3 linked regions of the Arabidopsis thaliana genome follow. The protein of the gene in region 2 interacts with the protein of the main gene of each other region in a pairwise test. Each region holds a gene or a part of one and is shown on either strand. Other genes may lie near its edges. The genes, in order: CRF9, NF-YA8 and MYB11.

Region 1 (6,211 bases), about 12 Mb from region 2:
CTTCATAGTTTTCATTCGATGAACATATATATATGCGGATAAGGTAAGTTAATACTGCGAGTGATTATAATTAGTTTTAAAGCATATGGAGAACATGTCAACGAGAGATATAGAATGTTATTTTGAGACGTGTATCCAACTCTAATGATTCTGATTTTTTTTATGAAAAAGAAGGTTGAAAACCACCCAATTTTCAAAAAAAAATTTTAAAAAAGAGAAGTTAGAAAAAAGATGATGATAGTTCACTTGTTCCAACTAGAGAGGCAATCTCCCAAATGGAGATCAAGATCTATGGATGCGGTGTTTGGTTACACGGCAAGAATACTCCATTTAGACTCTAACCACACTGGTCAGACGTATTAGAAAATATGCAATCCTTGAACAACGTTTAAAAAAATAATTGAATTAATGCTAACATTTGATTTAGTTCTATAAAAACAGAGGAATTTTCACACATGCAGTTTAAAATTCCTATATGATAACAATTAAATGTATCTTTTACTTGCAATATACAATATTTTATTTCATGATTTGGTTTTCGTCTAGGAAGTTTTAAAACAAAAACAACATACTATTAATTAATCTCTAATATATTATGTAACATATTAACGACACTATGACAAAGCCCTACAAGCCAGGTTTGCATCGTGTGGCTAATGAATCTCTTTCAGAAGTCAGCTACACTCAAAAATCTGTTTTTATTTCAAATGCTATGCTAAATTATAAAAACAGCTTATATATATACAAAAAGCTATATTTTTTTTAATACAATTTAGTAACATTTTATTTTTAAAATATACTACAGAATTATATTTAATCCATAAATAACTTAAGTCTAAACTACTCGGTTCTTTCGTTTTCTTTATGGGAAAATGAAACAGCGTGCTTCTTATCCCTCTTGGGAAAATGAAGCAGCGTACTTATTAAGGCAGCAACTGAATAGTCTACTTTTTTCACACACTCGCCTCAATTCAGTGTCATTATATAATTTAGTATCTTCCCATATACGCGATAGCGTGTTAGCCAAGGCAAACTCACTAGGGATTTGTCCTCTAAGCCACGAGATGAATCTCCGTCAAATCTACGAAGTTTAATGGATGAAAACAAAAGCCGGTATTGAAGCCGTTGTGGAAGTGCAACGCAGCGAGAAGCTAAAGAGGCGAGCGACATCAAAAGGTAGGACGGCTGCTGAATCGGCTATGATAAGAGCGTTTAACGCTCAATTTGCTGAGTATAGCTCTGAACTAAAGATAGCTCGTGCGGTCATGAAGAAAGAAAGTGATACTGGTGTTCGTCTCCGAGACAAGTACTGGCCAGTTTCTGCATTCGGTGTAGCCATCAATGTTTTGCACGAAGAGGCAGTTCTTGATTTTTGTAGGAAAGAGGGAGTGAAATGCGGTTTGTACAAGTATGTTGAAGGACTGATTGAACGCAAGACGGTGAGTTTTGCTTTACGCGAAGCCGATAATCTTCGGGCTGTTCTCAAGGAAATGGAAAGGTTTGAAGTTCCGGTTTCGTCTATGGATGGAAATTGTCTTGTTGATAATAAGAGGAAAGATATTGGATCTGTTCTTGGTCATGGTGGAGAAACATCATCTAAGAAGAAGAGACGTCTTACTCGTAAGAAGTAGATTTGACTCATTAACTCGTTAATGGGGAAATGTGAAAATGTTAATGGGAAAATGTATAACTCATTAATACTACTCATTATGCTTTTTATTTTGTTTTGTTTCTTTAGTCTTTCTTTTTGTAACGTTTTTGCGTTTTGTTTTTTCTTTTTGTTGTACGGTCTTTTTAAAAGTTTAATCTACTGTTTAAAACAAAAATTTTATGTTTATCGACACACTCAAACTGGAAGGTCTCAACTTAATCGGATCATGTTTATCAAGTTTTGAAATTTCATTTTATACATATAAGATGATAAATATATATACTATGATGTAGTGACTTAAAAAATAATCTAATGATTTGAAAATTAAACTCGTTAATATAACAAAAAAAAAAATCACTACTAGTTTTGATAGAATAAGTGTATTATTTTCTCAGGTTGCTTTTGAATGTTTCTTATGTATCATGTAAACTTTAACTATATAATAAAATCGATTTGCCGTTAAAAAAAAAAAAGTGTGTTATTTTCTCAAAATCATAAGTTGAGGGTTGAGATTAACCTATGAGATTCTGGATAGTCCCAATTTTACGTGTTCTCCGTACTTAGATGGTTGATTTCTCCATCGAAAATAAAAAACTTTTTATTTAATCATTAATGTGTAGTCTACAAATTATTCTCCGAGAAATACAAAAAAATAAAAATTAGAGTGTGATATCAATTGAAGTTTTAGGACCAAAGAAAAAAAGAACTATAATATATCATCAGAGAATTCCCAATTTTCCATTTTTTCCTACTAAAATATTAACTTTCTTTTTCTATCACAAAAAAAAAAAAATGGTAAATTTAGATATGGTAGTTACCGATATCCTCGTTAATATTTACTACAGATTTTACTTTTATGATTATATCTAAACAAAAATTAAAAAGGAAAACAAAACAATTCTCATAAACTATTAATAACGTCTTCTATGTTTCGTCTTCCTTAGCTTTGCCATAAGCTCCTTGAATTTTATTTTTGACACACTCTCCATAACAAGGTACGATGATGAATCTTAACTATGTTTTCTGTTCAAGTTTTTCTCCCATGTTTAGGTTTTTAATCTCTATCTCTATCACCAACTCAAAACACTACATTGTTTTTTTTTTGGTTTTTATTGTAAGATTCTGTTACTTAGTACCGGAGTTTAGTCGGAGAGAGAACAATGATCAGTTTCAGAGAAGAGAACATCGATCTCAACTTGATTAAAACAATTAGTGTAATCTGTAATGATCCAGACGCCACCGATTCCTCTAGCGACGATGAATCTATCTCCGGCAATAATCCTCGCCGTCAGATCAAACCAAAACCACCGAAACGTTACGTCTCAAAGATCTGTGTCCCGACGCTGATCAAAAGGTATGAGAACGTTTCGAATTCTACAGGGAATAAAGCAGCCGGAAACCGGAAAACGTCGTCGGGTTTCAAAGGCGTACGACGGAGGCCGTGGGGGAAATTTGCGGCGGAGATAAGAAATCCGTTTGAGAAGAAGAGAAAGTGGCTTGGAACGTTTCCTACTGAAGAAGAAGCAGCAGAAGCTTACCAAAAGAGTAAAAGAGAGTTTGATGAACGATTGGGTTTAGTTAAACAGGAAAAAGACCTAGTAGATTTGACCAAGCCGTGCGGTGTACGTAAACCAGAAGAGAAGGAAGTTACTGAGAAGTCGAATTGCAAAAAGGTAAATAAGAGAATTGTTACTGATCAGAAGCCATTTGGTTGTGGTTATAACGCTGATCATGAAGAAGAGGGAGTGATTAGTAAAATGTTGGAAGATCCGTTGATGACATCGTCAATTGCTGATATTTTTGGTGATTCGGCTGTTGAAGCAAATGATATTTGGGTGGATTACAATTCAGTGGAATTTATTTCCATTGTAGATGATTTCAAGTTTGATTTTGTGGAGAATGATAGAGTAGGAAAGGAGAAAACATTTGGATTTAAGATTGGGGATCACACTAAAGTTAATCAACATGCCAAAATCGTATCGACCAATGGGGACTTATTCGTCGATGATTTACTTGATTTTGATCCGTTGATAGATGATTTTAAGTTAGAAGATTTTCCTATGGATGATCTTGGATTATTAGGAGATCCAGAGGATGATGATTTTAGTTGGTTTAATGGTACTACTGATTGGATCGATAAGTTTTTATGAATACTTTCTTGACACGGCCAACGGTATTAGTACAAAACTACAAATCTTTGAGTTACAAGTTGTTTGTAATTCGTTTTGGTTTTTGTAACTAACTGCTTATATAAAGAGATTTACCTCATAAGAGAAGCTTTTACTAGTATGAAATTTAAATTCTCAAATTGATTTAAGAATAAAGTTGTAACCATGTCATTGTAGGGATAAATTCAAAAGCTACGAAATATGTTCCACATGAGCTTTTTTGTTCTTTTGATTAGCTTCTGGTTTCTTTGGAGTAGCCTTTTTTTTATTTGGCACAAAGGAGAAGAAACTGAGAGAATCTGTTCCCTAAGAGTCGATGGCTAAAGATCGTCGGACAAATCGACCTTTCATTCTCGGCCTTTTGTCGGCGTTAACCTTTCTAACCTCGTACCTTATCTTCTTCTCGAACAAACGATTCTTCCTTTTATCTCTGTATCTCCAAACTCTAGCTTCTCTCTCACTTCTTACTCTCTTCTCCTCTATCCCCTGCAATCAACAACCATTACAATAAGTTTCTTTGATAGATTGGGTTCAATTTTCTCAATTTGAAACAATATAATATCATTTTTGTAAGAACTCGGAAGATTAGGCGCTTACTGGAGGAACTAGCTGGAAGCTACTTGTGTTGTTTTTTACATCTCTAGGAGATTCTTGTTTATCCCAAGCTGCTATAACATTTTCGTAATTCAGTCTATGCCTTGCATTATTCTCATAACAATCTTCAATTTCTTCTGTCTTTTCTGAAACCGTTATGACATTGTCGTAATCTTTCTTGCAGCTCATCAAATATTGTCCAGGACATGCTTCAGCTCCATCAGTTTTATCTTCTTCTTCTCCATTGTAATATAGATCCTCCATTGTGTCAGCTTCTTCTTCAAAGTTGAATTGTTTCGTTGTTTCTTCAGTACCATTGTGGTTGCTCAAGAAGAATCCCATCTCTGTGAATCCCTCAAACTCTGGCACAAGAGAAGTCATATCATCATCATTTGCTTCTGGTATGAAAAACATCACTTCGCCTCCAATCTCGGGAACACGAGGATCTTCCCTTCTTCTCTCATCATCTATCTTTTGTTGTGGCTTTTTCTCATACCGAGATCTAGGAGTTCTTGCTTTTCTTCGAAACCCGCTGTGCCAAACCGAGGTTAATGTTGTTCCCCCACGCACATCATTCGATATCTCGTTTGTTCTAAGACAAACTCTCTCGTGTTTTGTCGCTACATGGTTTGCAGAATGCACTGATTCATCACAAACATGGCACAAGAAAGCATCATCGGAGGCACAGTACCAAACTGCGTGTTTGTTCAGACAAAGTTCGCAAGCTCGTGGCTGCTTGACATCTTCTTGGTACTTTGAAATCATAATTTCTGCGCAAAACATGAAAACAGAGATATGAGAAGAAATCAAAGTAGAAGAAGAAACTGGCACAAAAGGAGGTTTATCAGGAAACAGTAGAGTAATGGTTATATACTTTCTGAAATTTTGATATTTTGGTGACTTGTCATGGGCTAAGAACAAGAAAGATCTTAAAGTGAGAAAAAGGGGACAATGAAGAAGACAAGGGCTAAGAGGGATGGAGAATAATGGGCACTGACAAAGGAGCCTGCTTAGGTAGGTATATAATAATCTTTTTCGTTGGGATCAGACAAAGACATTTTCCTTTAGAATCTAGAAGATTTTTTCACTGACACTTCTTTCTTATGTCAGTAGGGACTAGAAATGACTTTTTAGCTCAAGTTTCCTTGAGTCTTGTTCTATACATGTTTAATATTCTTGAATCTTAACATTAAGGGTTAGTGAACATACTTATATAGAGTAGATTAGTCTTAAGAAAAGGTAGTAAAATTTGAGATGAGTAAACACTTGGTGTATTATTGAAGTTTGGCCATACCCATTTTTGGTTGGGTTGTACAAGGAAAAAAGACACTGTAGTGATGATTTGGCATCATGTACCGAAGTTGATCCATATCTTTGCGATCTTATTGGTTAGACTTGGATTATGTTTTTGGGTCTTTTATGGCTTCTTTTCCTTACCCATCTCTAAGTTTTATCTTTTTGTTTGTTAGTCTTTTGTTTTCTGACTCATTTTGTCTGTGGTCCTTACCTGTCTTTGTCACCATTTAACATATGGTAATAGACTCCGTAGATGTTTGAACTACTACTTAAAGGTTAATAAAAATTTCATGAACTATTTCAGAAATGAATCCATTTAGACAACACTAAAGAAGTAAAGATGTTCCTACAGTTTTGAAATAAAGGGAAAGTATGATGTTTTTAGAGTTAACTCTTTCTTAGTTTTATCAGATAAAGTCTTAAAAACATATACTAAGTTGCAAGCATGCAAAAAGGTACTTGGGAATTTCATTATTTCGACAAACAGGGACGCAATGTACAA
Region 2 (8,060 bases):
CGTGTGACATTGATGCATAAAATAGACTCTGGAAATATTGTTGGGATGAAAGCTCACATGGAAGGTCTTAATCATCTCTTGGATCAGGAATCCAATGAGGTTCTCCTGGTAGGAATCTGGGGAATGGGAGGAATTGGGAAAACCTCCATTGTTAAGTGTCTCTATGACCAGCTCTCACCTAAATTTCCAGCTCATTGTTTCATAGAAAACATTAAGAGTGTTAGTAAAGACAATGGCCATGATCTAAAGCATTTGCAAAAAGAATTGCTCTCCAGTATCCTCTGTGATGATATTAGGTTATGGAGCGTGGAAGCTGGATGCCAAGAGATAAAAAAGAGACTTGGGAATCAAAAGGTTTTTCTTGTGCTTGATGGTGTGGATAAAGTGGCGCAGGTGCATGCTTTGGCAAAAGAGAAAAACTGGTTTGGTCCTGGGAGCCGAATTATCATAACCACTCGAGATATGGGCTTGCTCAATACCTGTGGAGTAGAAGTCGTTTATGAGGTTAAGTGCTTGGATGATAAGGATGCCCTCCAGATGTTTAAACAGATTGCTTTTGAAGGAGGACTTCCTCCTTGTGAGGGTTTTGACCAACTCTCAATCCGAGCTTCTAAGCTTGCTCACGGGCTTCCTTCTGCCATTCAAGCCTATGCATTATTTCTCCGTGGAAGGACAGCGAGTCCTGAGGAGTGGGAAGAAGCACTGGGTGCACTTGAAAGCAGTCTTGACGAGAATATAATGGAAATCTTGAAAATTAGCTACGAGGGCTTACCAAAACCACATCAGAATGTATTCCTTCATGTTGTCTGTCTCTTCAATGGAGACACTCTCCAGCGAATCACTTCCCTTCTTCATGGCCCCATACCTCAGAGCAGCCTGTGGATAAGAGTTTTAGCAGAGAAATCTCTCATCAAAATATCAACTAATGGATCTGTTATCATGCACAAGTTGGTCGAACAAATGGGAAGAGAAATTATCCGCGACGACATGTCTTTGGCTCGAAAGTTCCTCAGGGATCCTATGGAAATTCGCGTTGCCCTGGCTTTCAGAGACGTAAGCATCTATATCATCTTTGATCTATTCTTTTAAATTTTCATGCATCCTGACCTGACGAGTTTCTGGCTTTGTGTTTCTTTTGTCTTCTTATCATCAGGGAGGAGAACAAACTGAATGCATGTGCCTACACACGTGTGATATGACCTGTGTGTTATCCATGGAGGCCAGTGTTGTTGGCCGTATGCATAATCTCAAGTTTCTCAAGGTTTACAAGCATGTAGATTACAGAGAGTCGAATCTGCAACTCATTCCAGACCAACCGTTCCTGCCTCGTAGCCTACGGCTATTCCATTGGGATGCATTTCCATTGAGAGCCCTGCCTTCCGGTTCTGATCCATGTTTTCTTGTTGAACTCAATCTGCGTCACAGTGATTTAGAAACTCTCTGGAGTGGAACACCGGTAATCTTTTCTATGATTCTGCATCTTGTGTTTGTGTTTTTGATAGAGCAATGGTGTGAAAACAGAGAATCCTTGCGAGAAACATAATTCCAACTATTTCCATGTGTTGTTGTATCTTGCTCAGATGTTGAAGAGTTTGAAGAGACTAGATGTGACGGGATCTAAGCATCTCAAGCAACTTCCAGATCTTTCAAGTATCACGAGTCTTGAGGAATTGCTTCTGGAACAATGCACGAGACTGGAGGGCATTCCAGAGTGTATTGGAAAAAGGTCTACCTTAAAGAAGCTTAAGCTATCCTACCGTGGAGGGCGTAGAAGTGCCCTGCGGTTTTTTCTACGAAAATCTACAAGGCAGCAACATATTGGATTGGAGTTCCCAGACGCAAAAGTGAAAATGGATGCACTTATAAACATATCGATTGGGGGAGACATTACTTTTGAGTTTCGTTCAAAATTTAGAGGATATGCTGAATACGTCTCTTTTAATTCTGAGCAACAGATACCCATTATATCGGCGATGAGTCTGCAACAAGCACCTTGGGTCATCTCAGAGTGCAACAGATTCAATTCCCTCCGCATCATGAGGTTCAGCCACAAAGAAAACGGTGAATCTTTCTCCTTTGACGTCTTTCCAGATTTTCCCGACCTGAAAGAGCTAAAACTAGTGAACTTAAACATCAGGAAAATCCCATCTGGGATTTGTCACCTGGATTTACTAGAGAAGCTGGACCTCAGCGGAAATGATTTTGAGAACTTACCAGAAGCTATGAGTAGCCTTTCCCGGTTAAAAACTCTCTGGCTTCAAAACTGCTTTAAGCTCCAGGAGTTGCCAAAGCTAACTCAGGTGCAGACACTTACACTTACCAACTGTAGGAACCTTAGATCATTGGCGAAACTATCTAACACAAGTCAAGATGAGGGAAGATACTGTTTGCTTGAGCTTTGCCTTGAAAATTGCAAGAGTGTTGAATCATTGTCAGATCAGCTTAGTCATTTCACCAAGTTGACATGTTTAGATCTCAGCAACCATGATTTTGAGACATTGCCATCAAGCATCAGAGATCTTACCTCATTGGTAACACTTTGCCTCAATAACTGCAAGAAACTCAAATCGGTGGAAAAACTTCCCTTGTCTCTCCAATTTCTCGATGCACACGGCTGTGATTCTCTCGAAGCTGGTTCTGCAGAACATTTTGAGGACATACCAAACAAGGAGGTGAATACTTGGCTCTTGATCCGTCTCTACTATGATTGATGTAGTTACCCTTTATCATCTCCCTTCTTTTATAGGCACATACACGAAATGACTACTTCCAAGAAACTGAGATGTCGAGTTATGTACTGAAAACTCAAGCCACAAGAAATCGCCAAACCATCCGCCTTCCCAAGATCACACATGCGGTTATGTATGTAGGCATCCCTATCTGCATCACGCTAGTGGCTGCTCTTGTGATTTTACTCCTGCGTGTTTTCAAGTGAAACTCAAGACTCAGCAACAGCTTCCTCAAGACTTAAACTGTGTGCTTTCTTCTGTAATTTACCAGGTAGTAACAAACTTACTACATTTCAAGTCTCCCTTGCTTCTGCTTCTCTCTCTCTTTTCCACTCGCATTTTGGAACTGAGTTCCACTATATCCAAAGAACGCTTCAAGATTTTGTCCATAAACACAAAGAGTAGGCAGATTAGCTTTGCTTTAGATGCTTCAGCTGCCATATAGTTGCTCACTAGATTAGGCTTTTGACGATAGTTTTACTTTGTAAAGTGGATAGGCAGATAACTAGATAAGTGTTTACTTTGTTAAGTGAACAAAATAATAAGTCAATAAGATTAGAAAACTAATATATTAATTAAGCATTAAAAATACTAATGAAGGTGGCGGTACTGCTAATAATGGAGCTGGTGATTTTGTTGGAAAGGTAATGACTTTATAAGAGAGAAAATTGTGAGTGACGGAAATGAAGCATCAAAAGAATACACACACACACATACACACTGTTGAGTATCTATCTGAGAGAATAAGCAAAAGAGAAAAGAGATTTACTTTGTTTTGATAGGCATCCCTTGAGTTCCTGTTCTTCATCTCTTCCTTGAATCCGTAAGGTCTCTCTATCTCCTTCTCTTTGAATCCGTCATTTCTTCGCTTTTTTTTAGAGTGATGTGCTGATTCGGAAATCTTCTGGAAATTTCTTCCCAAGTCAACGCCTTTTAGGACGAAAGTAATGGTGCTGATTTTAGTTGGTCGGAACTTTACTTTTTTTTCTGCCGCGCTCTTCTAATAGTTTGCCCGAAATAGTTCTGAATGTTGCTCTGTTTCTGGGTTTTTTTCCCTTTTTGGATTATCCCCTTCTTTGTCTACTACATCGTCAAAGGTTTTGCTGTTTCCAGGAATAAATATCTTTTGAAAGTTTTATCATTTATAAAGATGTTCTGAATTTGGAGCTTCTTTGACAGACACATGTATCATCAATCTTCTCTGTTGAAGCAGAGAGAGAGAGAGCTAATTGTTGCCTCTGAGTCACATGGATAAGAAAGTTTCATTTACTAGCTCTGTGGCACATTCAACTCCACCATACCTTAGTACTTCCATCTCATGGGGACTTCCAACCAAATCCAATGGTGTGACTGAATCACTGAGTTTGAAGGTGGTAGATGCAAGACCAGAACGTCTTATAAACACAAAGAATATCAGTTTCCAGGACCAGGATTCATCTTCAACTCTGTCCTCTGCTCAATCTTCTAACGATGTTACAAGTAGTGGAGATGATAACCCCTCAAGACAAATCTCATTTTTAGCACATTCAGGTCCGTTTTAAACAACTTTGGGTTCTAGACAACTCACTATGATCTATTATGTTGAAGACGCATGGTGTTTTAGCTTGATCTTTGGTCCCATTTACGAAAGAATCCATCCCTTTGTCCTGAAAATGTTATCTTTCGCTCTCTTTCTTTCAGATGTTTGTAAAGGATTTGAAGAAACTCAAAGGAAGCGATTTGCAATTAAATCAGGCTCCTCCACGGCAGGAATCGCTGATATTCACTCTTCTCCTTCCAAGGTACCCGTATATCTACTACGAGTGACGATAAGCAGTACTTGTGATTGTTTACTGACATCTTGTGTTATACTCTGGTTTCAGGCTAACTTCTCATTTCACTATGCCGATCCACATTTTGGTGGTTTAATGCCTGCGGCTTACCTACCACAGGCAACAGTAAGTATATCCTCCTTGATTACATATGGTGAGGAGAATATTTATGCTAAACCTCATTTTTACTTAAGGTGGACTTGTTATGTAACATTATGCTCTGAAGTAGTTACATATACAGCTATAGAAAGAAATGCCATCCTTAAATGGTGAATTAGTCTTGCAATTTATTTCTCCATTTGAGATTTCAGTTTGCTTAAAAACTTTCTGCAGATATGGAATCCCCAAATGACTCGAGTTCCGCTACCATTCGATCTCATAGAGAATGAGCCTGTCTTTGTCAATGCAAAGCAATTCCATGCAATTATGAGGAGGAGGCAACAGCGTGCTAAGCTAGAGGCGCAAAACAAACTAATCAAAGCCCGTAAGGTATAGTATTTTGGTCAGCGTTTCGGTATCTTACTTTGGTTTAATGACTAAACATAACTCATTATCAAATATCATACAGCCGTATCTTCATGAATCTCGACATGTTCACGCTCTTAAACGACCTAGAGGATCTGGTGGAAGATTCCTAAACACCAAAAAGCTTCAAGAATCTACAGATCCAAAACAAGACATGCCAATCCAACAGCAACACGCAACGGGAAACATGTCAAGATTTGTGCTTTATCAGTTGCAGAACAGCAATGACTGTGATTGTTCAACCACTTCTCGCTCTGACATCACATCTGCTTCTGACAGCGTTAATCTCTTTGGACACTCTGAATTTCTGATATCAGATTGCCCATCTCAGACAAACCCAACAATGTATGTTCATGGTCAATCAAATGACATGCATGGAGGTAGGAACACACACCATTTCTCTGTCCATATCTGAGCCGGTGGAATCTGGTAATGTGTACGTTCCTACAAAAAAAGGGAAGTCATCCTTGGCTGCTACTTCGCTTATTAGCTAGTTCTTATTTCACACGCTTTGTCCAGATATCATTTGAATGACCAAAAACCTTCAAGCTTCAACTCTTTACTTTTCGTCTGTCGTTTGTACCATGGATCATCGTGTGTTAAGTCAGTGATTGGATTGGAGTGATGAATGTAAATGTAAATCTGATAACCGATAAGTCTCTGCTCTTTGCTTATTCATAGTTAGTAAAGCTAAACCAGATTCATACACTCCATTCCGGTGTTGTTTATATCATATATCATAGTCATAGAACACATTGACTAGAAGCGCAGCTTGGTCCCAATCCTCTGTAACAAGCCGTCCAACCACCTTCCCCGACCAAGTTTCTAACCGTCTGTAGATAGTCAGACTGCAGTTCCTATCGTTACTACTACTACTATTACTATCTTCCACATTTAGAACCTGCAGTCTAGTCTTTAATTATGTCACTGTAATCAAAGCGGAGACACTACCAGCAATGGCGGCAGTAACACCTTGAACAAATGTTCCCTAAACGCTTTTCTGTCTGAGTACCCCCGAGTTACAATCACTAGCAGTGTATTTATACACAAAGGGAATATCTCTTAACACAGATATGTTTCCAAAAACATACAAACATAACTAAAGACTAGACTGTAAAGGATGACGGGAAATTGCAATGTTTCTTTTGCAACACGTTTTCACCACGTGTCGATGTTGTTGACACATTAACTAACGCAAGAGTTATCCTTCTTTTGATCTTTTCCTTGATGTAATACTTTGGGCTTCAATTTTGGGCTTCAACTTTGGCCTTGTAAACTTGTTTGGATCAGTCAATAAAGAACAATAGTGACAAAAAAAAAAACTAATAATTTGAAAAATGATAAACAAAGTAAAATTCATTAAGCAAATGGCCTATCAACGCATGGACACAACAAATATTTAGTTCACATATATATATTTTTTCCTACCCAATATACCCCTATTAATAGTAGAACAGTACCAGAAAGCCACTGGCAAAGATAGGCATATGTACTAATGTACAGGCTTTGTTTTTGAAAGCACAATACTGATCTCCTAATCTGAAAATGTCCTAGCGATCGATCGGGTATAGGGAACTTTGACTACTTCAATCTGACCTTTCCAACAAGAACATGAAGTTGGAGTTTTGGCGGATCAACGGAGGAGGATCAACCTCTGCAACCTCTACGTTTTGCATCGATTTGGAGATATCGTCAAGCGAGAATGGGATGCTGCAAAAAGCAATCAAACCAAGACACATAATTTTTTTTATCAAAATATCAATCTTCTAAAAAGTGATTTGTTTTGTTAATGTTTCTTTCAAGGGTTTACCTCGAATCGTCGTCTAGTAAAAATGAATTGCTGATCGCGCTCTTTGATACATCTGACACCTCTGCCCGCATGGTTGCTATCACCTGCATCACCATTCTTGTGTCAAGCGAGGAACATTTTTATTTCAATTCTAGGTAATGTTGGATTTTCTTAAAACATAGCTCAGGATAAGACTAATGTTAACGGTTTGGTCGAGTGGGTCCATCAATCACACGAATGTGAAAGCAAGAGTAGAAATATTCACTTGCCTCTGTAGATACGCTATGTGTACCGTATTTGTCGTCCCAATACATTGTACTGATCCTATACAGTTGCTGAATGCTAAGCACCTGCAGAGAAATACAAAATTTCGTTAGATTTACATGAGACGAACAAATGAAGAGACAAATTCAAAACGTTGAACTAACCGGACAAAGTTCAGTAGTTATCTCTTTTAAGCTCTTCTTAGGCTTCTGATGTATAACCAAGAAGCCAACAGCTTGTCTAATGTGCTTTAGTTCATCCCAAGCCGAACCAACAAACTAGAACACAACAAAAAAAGCATCTTCTAATAAGCTAACTGTCCGAAAACTCCAGAGAGGATTTGAAACATCTATTACCTCCTCCGTTGCATCATGGCACCACTTTTCCAGCTCAGCAAGCCCTGTTTTTACATACTCTCCATTGCTAAACGAGCAGCATTCACGTCTTAAAAGAAGGCTACACGGTTGATTAAACGGGAAAAACATAAGCGGATCTGTATTATATAGCGACTTGACAGTTGCAACCATATCAGAATTACCTGTTAAACAGCTGAACATTGATAAATGAAAATATCTGCCCGAACACTTTAGAAATTAGCAAGGAAGGCACCTGCAGTTTTGGATAGGTTCAAAATTTGTAAGAAGAAAGAAAAAAGAAGTTGAAAATAAACTTTATTTCAGCTTTGGCGGAATTTATAGTTTATTTCACTCACATAATTGGCCCTCATAGTCCTCAAGTGGCCGTTTAGACAAGTAACAATGTTTTGCCAATGAGCAATCATCGGTTTTGGAGCAACAACATTATTTTGTGTATTTTGTGAACGTCCTTTTACTAAACCAGACCGCGGTGTCCTTGGAACCTGTTTTCATCAAACCACAAAACCAGAACCAGACTCAGGGGCTTTAATACCACAATAATATATCAACGATTATTTTCTGTGGA
Region 3 (7,356 bases), on a different chromosome or scaffold from region 2:
TAGTCGTATAAGTTGTGGCAACTGGCAAGGCTCCTATTAAGCTTTTAGAGCATCTCCAATGGAGAGAGCTCATGGAGAGGTTTTCTCAATTTTTTTTGATTAAATTTCAACAAAAATTACAAGAGAACTTTTGCTTATTTTTTTTTTAGTTTTTCATATTCCAATGACAGATTCTCTCTAATGGGGTTCTCTGAAAAAAACTATTCTTTTAAAATTATTTTATTTACTAAAACTTAATAATTATTGCAAATCATAAAATATTAAATATACATTGTTTTCATTTTTCAAACATTTTAAAATAGATTTGAAAAAAGAACAAAAATTTAAGTGTTTTTTGGTTCTTTAAACTTGTGGTTATGTATTTTGGTTCTTAAACTTATGGTTAAAGTGTTTTGCTTCTTAAACTTGTAGATAAAGTTTTGAAAATTTGTGATTATGTGTTTAAGTGTTATGGTTAAAATTTGGTTACAACAAATATATAGCAAAGAGTTCGAACATAAAAGAACATTTGAGTGTATGAACATAAAACTTCCATCACAATAACGTGAAGAGAACTCTAAATCATTAGTTGTTTATCAAGAAACAAAGCTTAATACACACGATTTAAGGTTCACTCTTAGAGGAATTTCATCAAACACGTACTAGACATCAATTCTATTTTACAATTCCACTCAAATAGAAACTTTATTAAAAGCCAAACCTAAGCTAACCTCAATGCAATGAACCAAATCCCATTTCTTGTTCAAAGTGTCAATCCAACCATGATCAAGAACCATAGAGTTACCATAAGTAATCTCAGTTACCTCGGCATCAAAACAGAGACTGCATCGGAAATGACCATTTGTCTGAATGATTCATTGGTTGACGGAGCAAGCATAAACAAATAGTTACCATAGCCTGCATTTTAGAGGGCTCAAATGAGACTAGTATGGCTTCACATTTACTCCATAGATAAGTTAAAGGAAAAAAAACAGAGTGATCAGTAAAAGGAAAACAGACCCGTGGACTTGAAAATTCCTTTGGGGTCGACCTCTGTCATAGCTCGAGCAGAGGCTTCAGCCCCATCTAGAACTTCCGATAATGTTCACCTTTACAACAACATTCATCTTGTTACCCTTTATACTTCCTCTGTGAACCTAAGAAAGCAAATAAATGATATTGTCTTAGTATAAACATAACCAGAGTTTGACAATGTTGCTACAATTCCACGTCAAGAGATAATAATTCTACGGCAAGAGTAGCTAATTCTAGAAAGCATTATGACCAGATTATCTTCCTCAATTACAACATAAATATACAGCTTCATTATGGGTCCATCACCAAGACCTTCTGCTTTACAAGCTCCTAAATACTCTAACTCAATCATGTTTACTTAATTGTTAAGTTTCCACCATAATCTATAATACCTGAGCAATAGAAGCATAACCAAGAGGCTTTTCATCAAATTTTCAAAGTTGAATCGCATCAAACGGCGTCGCAGGAGCTTGATCACACGAAATTACAAGCTTTTAAAACCACGAAGCTCGAACCCAGAATTGAAAAGAGTGTTGCCATAGACGAAAGCTATCGGAGATCTTTTCCTGAATATCTTTGAAATCGAAACCCACGCATTTTTATTTTCTTTTGGTGAACAAATTGGTTTCAGTTTGTGTATCTTGATTTCAGTTTCAAAGAAAAGATATCAAATGCGAAAAGTTTTCAGAAGAAACGATGATTGGGCTTTGCATCTTTTGGTCAATTTCGTTTGGGCAGAGAGGAGAAAGAAGATAGAACAGAACGCGCACACATTTATTTTTTTGTTGAAATTGAAAACCCAATCACATGTTGCCACATCGACGGTTCTCTCAAATTCTCAAAACTCTCTCCAGAAAGCCGACTCTCTTGATTTTTATCAGTTTTAATTTATTTTTATTGTCATTAAACAAGAGAGCCCAACAATTTTTTGATTACATCCTCTCGTTGGAGATGGTCTTATAGCTTTTAATCAAAATTCAAAACGTTCATTAATTACCACTTTACCAGTGAACATTTACACACAAAAAAGAGTTGTGGTTGGCGACATGCTTTGAAATTTGCTCGGGTTTTGGTCTATTATTAGTCTATCAGAGAAACTTGTTTCTTTGAAATACTTCCACCTAGAATGCAACTAGCAAGTGTTGGACTATGTACCAATAGTGAGAATTGCTGATTCACAATATGGAACTGAATTTTATTTATATTTTTTTTGTATTTTAAATTTCTTATTATATTTGTATACATATATACGAAAGTCGAAAGATTACTTAAGTTGGCTATCAATGGTGTAATCATCAATGGATCGCTTATATGTAATTGAACTAAGAAGATCGACTTTATTTTGTTTATTTGCCACCGCCAAAATCGTATTTACACATGAAAAGAAATAAAAAAGAATATAAATACATTTAAAACTAAAAAACGAACGCTAGGGGACAAACATGTTCTATTGACAAACCGACCAGATCCTGCCACGTGGGGTCTTTGCTAAAATCTAACGGAGAAAAAGGCATATGCATGGTGTCAAATCTTTCAAGACAAAAGCCAAGCAGCCATCTTGTTTTCTTCGTCAATATCCAACGGTTCTCCAAAGTCGTTGGAGTCCCTTTGTCTGATCTCAGATTCCATTTCCTCTCCATCTAACAGCCTCGACAAAACCGAATCAAGATCCTCTTTTTCGTCCCAAAGGGTTTGACCTTCTCTCCATACAAAGTCCCAGTCAACGAAATCATCAGCCATCGTTTCGATATTTTTGTGCCCAACTGACATCCCTCCATATGGCTCAGAGTTTTTTACGTTGTTCGACTCACATGAGGACACGTGGACAGCATGAGAGTCGTCCAATAGAAAACAAGAATCGAAAATGTCGTCATTGAGACACAAAGCTCCATCGTCGCCATTAATGCTTGGGTTACAATCGCCATCGTCTCCATAACCACATGGTCCTAAACCGGGTTCCTCTGCTCCACTTAAGCTACTACTTGACAACACCATTAATGCGTCTTCTTTGTCTCCCTCTCCATTCTCTATTGTCGTAGTTGGCAAAACGATGTCACTTTTGTTTGCTTTAAAAGAATTAGGGGTTTTGTGGTTTTTAGGGTTTAGGATAAATTTGGGTTTCATGGCGGATCTGCTGGTTCTTCCAGGTCTACGCTTAGGAGGCGGAGGCGCATTCTCGACGGTATTGGCGACAGTTGGTTTTCTGAAGTAACCGTGGAGTTTACGGCTGAGATGAGAATTCCAATAGTTTTTTATTTCGTTGTCTGTTCTTCCCGGTAGATTGCTCGCAATTGTTGACCACCTGCAATTTAATTAGCGTTGACGCTATTCTTATTTTTTGTTGTAAAAACGTTTTTTTTCACGACGTTACACAGCAACAGTTTGATTTATGATTTCACGTGATAGTGTACTTTTTCTATTGGAAATATATCGACATTAATAAACTTTTGTTCAAATGAAAAAGTTACCTGGTTCCCAAAGTGGAATGCAGTTTAACAATGACGTCCTCTTCTTCGGGAGTTATGTTTCCTCTCTTGATGTCTGATCTCAAATAGTTTATCCATCTCAATCTACAGCTCTTTCCACATCTCTTTAGCCCTTTTTAAAATGTACGTCAGATTTTAATTAAGGCATAATAATGCCTGCAGCGATTACTCATCTTTTCCTAAATATTGAAATAAATTATCGTTTTATTTGTGATGTTACAGTCCATATATACATGTAAATAAAACAAGAAGGCAATTTGGTCTGAATTATCAATAAACACTTTATGTACTTTAAAATATTATGCATTCCTTATAGAAACTGATACATTAAATAGAAAAAAAAAAAATCAAGTCTCTATTTTAATTTTTTTTACAACTCATGGTGTATAATTGAACCGTACGTAAGATTAATTAACTTCTCGATGCATATAGATTCTCTTATAAATTTTGACCAAACAAAAAAACTATCTTATGAGATGCATGCGATAGTCGAGAGACAGAGTACTGTATAGATAAAAAAAACTTTACCGGCATTTTTGGGAAGAGAACGCCATGATCCTTCGCCGTTGGACTGAATGTAGTCGGAGAGAGTCCGGTCTTCCTCCGCCGTCCAGCGCCCCTTCTTAATTCCTACCTTCTCACAGCACGGCGCCCTTCCCATTCTCTCGGCCGGCGATTATTAAAAATCACTCACTTCACTTGTTCCTAAAGTCAATCACTAGAGAAAGAGATTATTTAAAGAGAAGTAAAGTGACGACACAACAAAAAGTGATTGGTTTAGTATTAAATATTTATAGGAGTGACATGCAAGAATAGAGAGGAGTGGGTTATATATTCAGGTGATAGAACGAGCCACGTTTGTCTATGTTGAAACAAAAGTCGTAGGCGCTCATCATAGGTCGAGAGCTACTAACCAGCTGTCCAGCTGGGTCGTCCTAGTGTCTCTAATTAGATGCTAACTATAGTTTTTAAATACTAGTTATACATTTTTTTTTTTTTTAAATACTAGTTATACATTTATTATTTCTGACTTGTTTCTAATCATACTGCTCAATTCGGATTCAGTTAATCATCTAACAATTAATAAAATCATAAGCGTAATACTTTCTCAATATTTTACTTCGTATCGTGGAAAATATGTAAACACCAATTTTATTTAGTTTACTATTGTCAGCAACGTTTCTTTATTTTTCAATGGACAGTAAAATGGTATTAGTGGGGGATCGGGACCACTCGTGTGAGATGTCTAGTTATTATTGTATGTCTAGTAAATAATGTTTCGTCGAAGATGCGAAGAATCAAGAGACCTGACATATGACATGATTGTCCAAACCAGTCTATGTTTCTTTGCATGTAATTAATAAGCAACAAAATATGTATTTATTACTTAACCACCTTTTTTTGTTTTATACTCCAGTAGTGTTTAACCAATGCACAACGTAATGTGTGACTAAGATAGTCTAGATTATATAAAGATTAAAGAAATAAATTTTCTCATAGCAGCGGTTTTGTCATTATATTAACAAGTTTAATATGGTAGGTACAAAATCCATAATGCATAAATATGCAAAACTAGTTTGGATCTGGCCTCCCCAGATCGGTTTACATAAAACAATCTCGATTTTGTATGGGCCCAGTAACCTAGGGTTTTTAATCGGGTTAGGCCACATTTATTGAATAACAATCGTAGGGGAGTTACAGGCCCGCTTCATTATTAATGCGCCTTGTATAGATTATATGAGTATAACGACGTCGTACTCATTAAAGTCGACGAAAAGAACAGTCAGCGATTCGACGTTGGTTTATCCACGTGGCTAATATTTATTGGTTACGATCGTCAGAGACTTAATCCTGATTGGTTAAGCATTGCAGTGTACACGTAACCCGACCACGAGGCTCGAGTTTTGGAATCGTTTCCACGAAAACAAGTAGAGAGAGTGATTCGAGTTTTCCAATCATAAAAATCAGCGAAGAAGATCTTCGTTCTTGTTCATTCTGTGAGGTTTCATTGTTAAAATCGAAACGAATCTCAGGTTGGAGTAATCCTTGGGAGAGATCCGATTTCCGTTTCCATGGCGATTCGGTGGTCGGAGCTGTGTATCGTACTGTTCGCTCTTTCCTACGCCATCTGCGTCCTTGCCGGGTAAGAACATCTTTCGATTCCTTCAGAAATGTGTGGAAAATGTGAATGCTTAGAAAATCTGTGTTGTGGATTTAGGAAGAGTTACTACGATGTGTTGCAAGTCCCGAAAGGTGCATCTGATGAACAGATCAAGAGAGCTTATAGGAAACTAGCTTTGAAGTATCATCCCGATAAGAATCAAGGAAATGAGGAAGCGACTCGCAAATTCGCTGAGATCAACAATGGTATTTTCGTTTTGCAACTTGTGTGATTCTGCTCTCTTTGTTAACTCACCCGTTTTTAGTTTTGAGAATTGACGTATTGGTGTTTGATGTAATAGCTTATGAAGTGTTATCGGATGAGGAGAAGAGGGAGATATATAACAAGTATGGTGAAGAGGGACTTAAACAGTTTTCTGCAAATGGAGGAAGAGGAGGAGGAGGAGGCGGCATGAATATGCAGGACATCTTCAGCTCGTAAGTTTTCTGCAAATGGTAACTCTTTAGGATCCAACTAGAGGTACAAGATACAGGGTCACTAGGATCTGTCTGATCTTCTATCCTGTTGAACCCATCTTAACATAGAATTCGTGTGAGTTTTATTTATTGATAGTGGATACAATTGAATTTGGTAATGTTAAGGGACTTTACTCTGTAGCGTGAATAGTTCCTAAATTTGGATAACGTTTTACATTTGTGTTTAAAGAAGGGACTTTACTCTGTAGCGTGAATAGTTCCTAAATTTGGATAATGTTTTACATTTGTGTTTAAAGGGTGCAGATTGCTAATTTGCAGAGATTATTGATGTGTTTAATAGGTTTTTTGGTGGAGGTTCGATGGAGGAAGAAGAGAAGGTTGTCAAGGGGGATGACGTAATTGTGGAACTTGAGGCAACTCTAGAAGATTTGTACATGGGAGGCTCTATGAAGGTATGTTAAGCTCCGTGTCAGGATGTTATTGTCATCACTAATACATGTTACTCATCTGGGAAATGTTACTTTGATCCAAATGTACTAGAATCAATAGAAATTTGTAAACTAGATTTCATAGTGTCATTCAGACATTCTTTAGGTTCAGTTCAGGCGATGTTTTGGTTAGAGTAGACAGTTTTTTTTTTTACATTAATGCAAATAAAAGAAATTGCATTAAGTTCTCAGTGAGAATGTTCCACATTGAACTATCAGGTATGGAGGGAAAAGAATGTGATAAAACCAGCTCCTGGAAAGAGAAAGTGTAACTGCAGGAACGAGGTCTATCACAGACAAATTGGTCCTGGAATGTTCCAACAGATGACAGAGCAGGTAAAGGACGGATATGTTCAATTGTCACAGATGGTCTTGTTCCAACCTAATTACTGTTTAACGACGTATCCTCTTCTTCCCCTCAGGTCTGTGACAAATGCCCTAATGTCAAATACGAACGGGAGGGATACTTTGTGACAGTTGATATCGAGAAAGGAATGAAAGATGGAGAAGTAAGTATCGAACTTCTACTACCCTCATTGTAAAATCAATCGAAACTACGTTTCATAGTAGCTCTTTAATTCATTTTGATTTATTTATGAGCTTATCGATTTTTCCGATCTTAGTTTCTAAATACCAAATACTTTTCAGGAAGTGTCTTTCTATGAAGACGGCGAACCCATTCTTGACGGTGACCCTGGTGACCTTAAGGTTAGCCTCTTCCCTAAATTTCACTATCCTTGACTTCACTAAACATCAAAATCAGAGAGAAT

What was found.
Region 1: the proteins of NF-YA8 (region 2) and CRF9 interact in a two-hybrid assay, tested with the Arabidopsis thaliana proteins (one large-scale study listed by BioGRID).
Region 3: the proteins of NF-YA8 (region 2) and MYB11 interact in a two-hybrid assay, tested with the Arabidopsis thaliana proteins (one large-scale study listed by BioGRID).

Annotation. Positions count from the first base shown.
Region 1 is NC_003070.9:18,170,616-18,176,826, forward strand, and holds CRF9 (Integrase-type DNA-binding superfamily protein), read left to right. Parts: upstream 1-2,811; coding exon 2,812-3,801; downstream 3,802-6,211. Other genes in the region: AT1G49110 (uncharacterized protein), read left to right, coding at 1,098-1,631; BBX17 (B-box type zinc finger protein with CCT domain-containing protein), read right to left, coding at 4,126-4,305, 4,417-5,183, 5,288-5,321.
Region 2 is NC_003070.9:6,047,901-6,055,960, reverse strand, and holds NF-YA8 (nuclear factor Y, subunit A8), read left to right. Parts: upstream 1-3,332; 5' UTR 3,333-3,557; exon of another isoform or gene 3,558-3,908; 5' UTR 3,909-3,976; coding exon 3,977-4,259; intron 4,260-4,409; coding exon 4,410-4,510; intron 4,511-4,591; coding exon 4,592-4,666; intron 4,667-4,873; coding exon 4,874-5,029; intron 5,030-5,108; coding exon 5,109-5,480; 3' UTR 5,481-5,797; downstream 5,798-8,060. Other genes in the region: AT1G17600 (Disease resistance protein (TIR-NBS-LRR class) family), read left to right, coding at 1-1,053, 1,154-1,456, 1,581-2,672, 2,747-2,935; MYA1 (myosin 1), read right to left, coding at 6,652-6,775, 6,876-6,958, 7,124-7,204, 7,283-7,396, 7,475-7,574, 7,657-7,727, 7,831-7,977. UniProt on the Arabidopsis thaliana protein: Stimulates the transcription of various genes by recognizing and binding to a CCAAT motif in promoters.
Region 3 is NC_003074.8:23,151,563-23,158,918, reverse strand, and holds MYB11 (myb domain protein 11), read right to left. Parts: upstream 4,290-7,356; 5' UTR 4,162-4,289; coding exon 4,029-4,161; intron 3,613-4,028; coding exon 3,483-3,612; coding exon of another isoform or gene 3,479-3,482; intron 3,317-3,478; coding exon 2,548-3,316; 3' UTR 2,334-2,547; downstream 1-2,333. Other genes in the region: AT3G62615 (uncharacterized protein), read left to right, coding at 3,065-3,097, 3,479-3,559; ATERDJ3B (DNAJ heat shock family protein), read left to right, coding at 5,573-5,643, 5,719-5,867, 5,963-6,098, 6,439-6,550, 6,806-6,922, 7,009-7,095, 7,235-7,294. UniProt on the Arabidopsis thaliana protein: Modulates overall growth by reducing the proliferation activity of meristematic cells and delaying development. Flavonol-specific transcription activator involved in the regulation of several genes of flavonoid biosynthesis.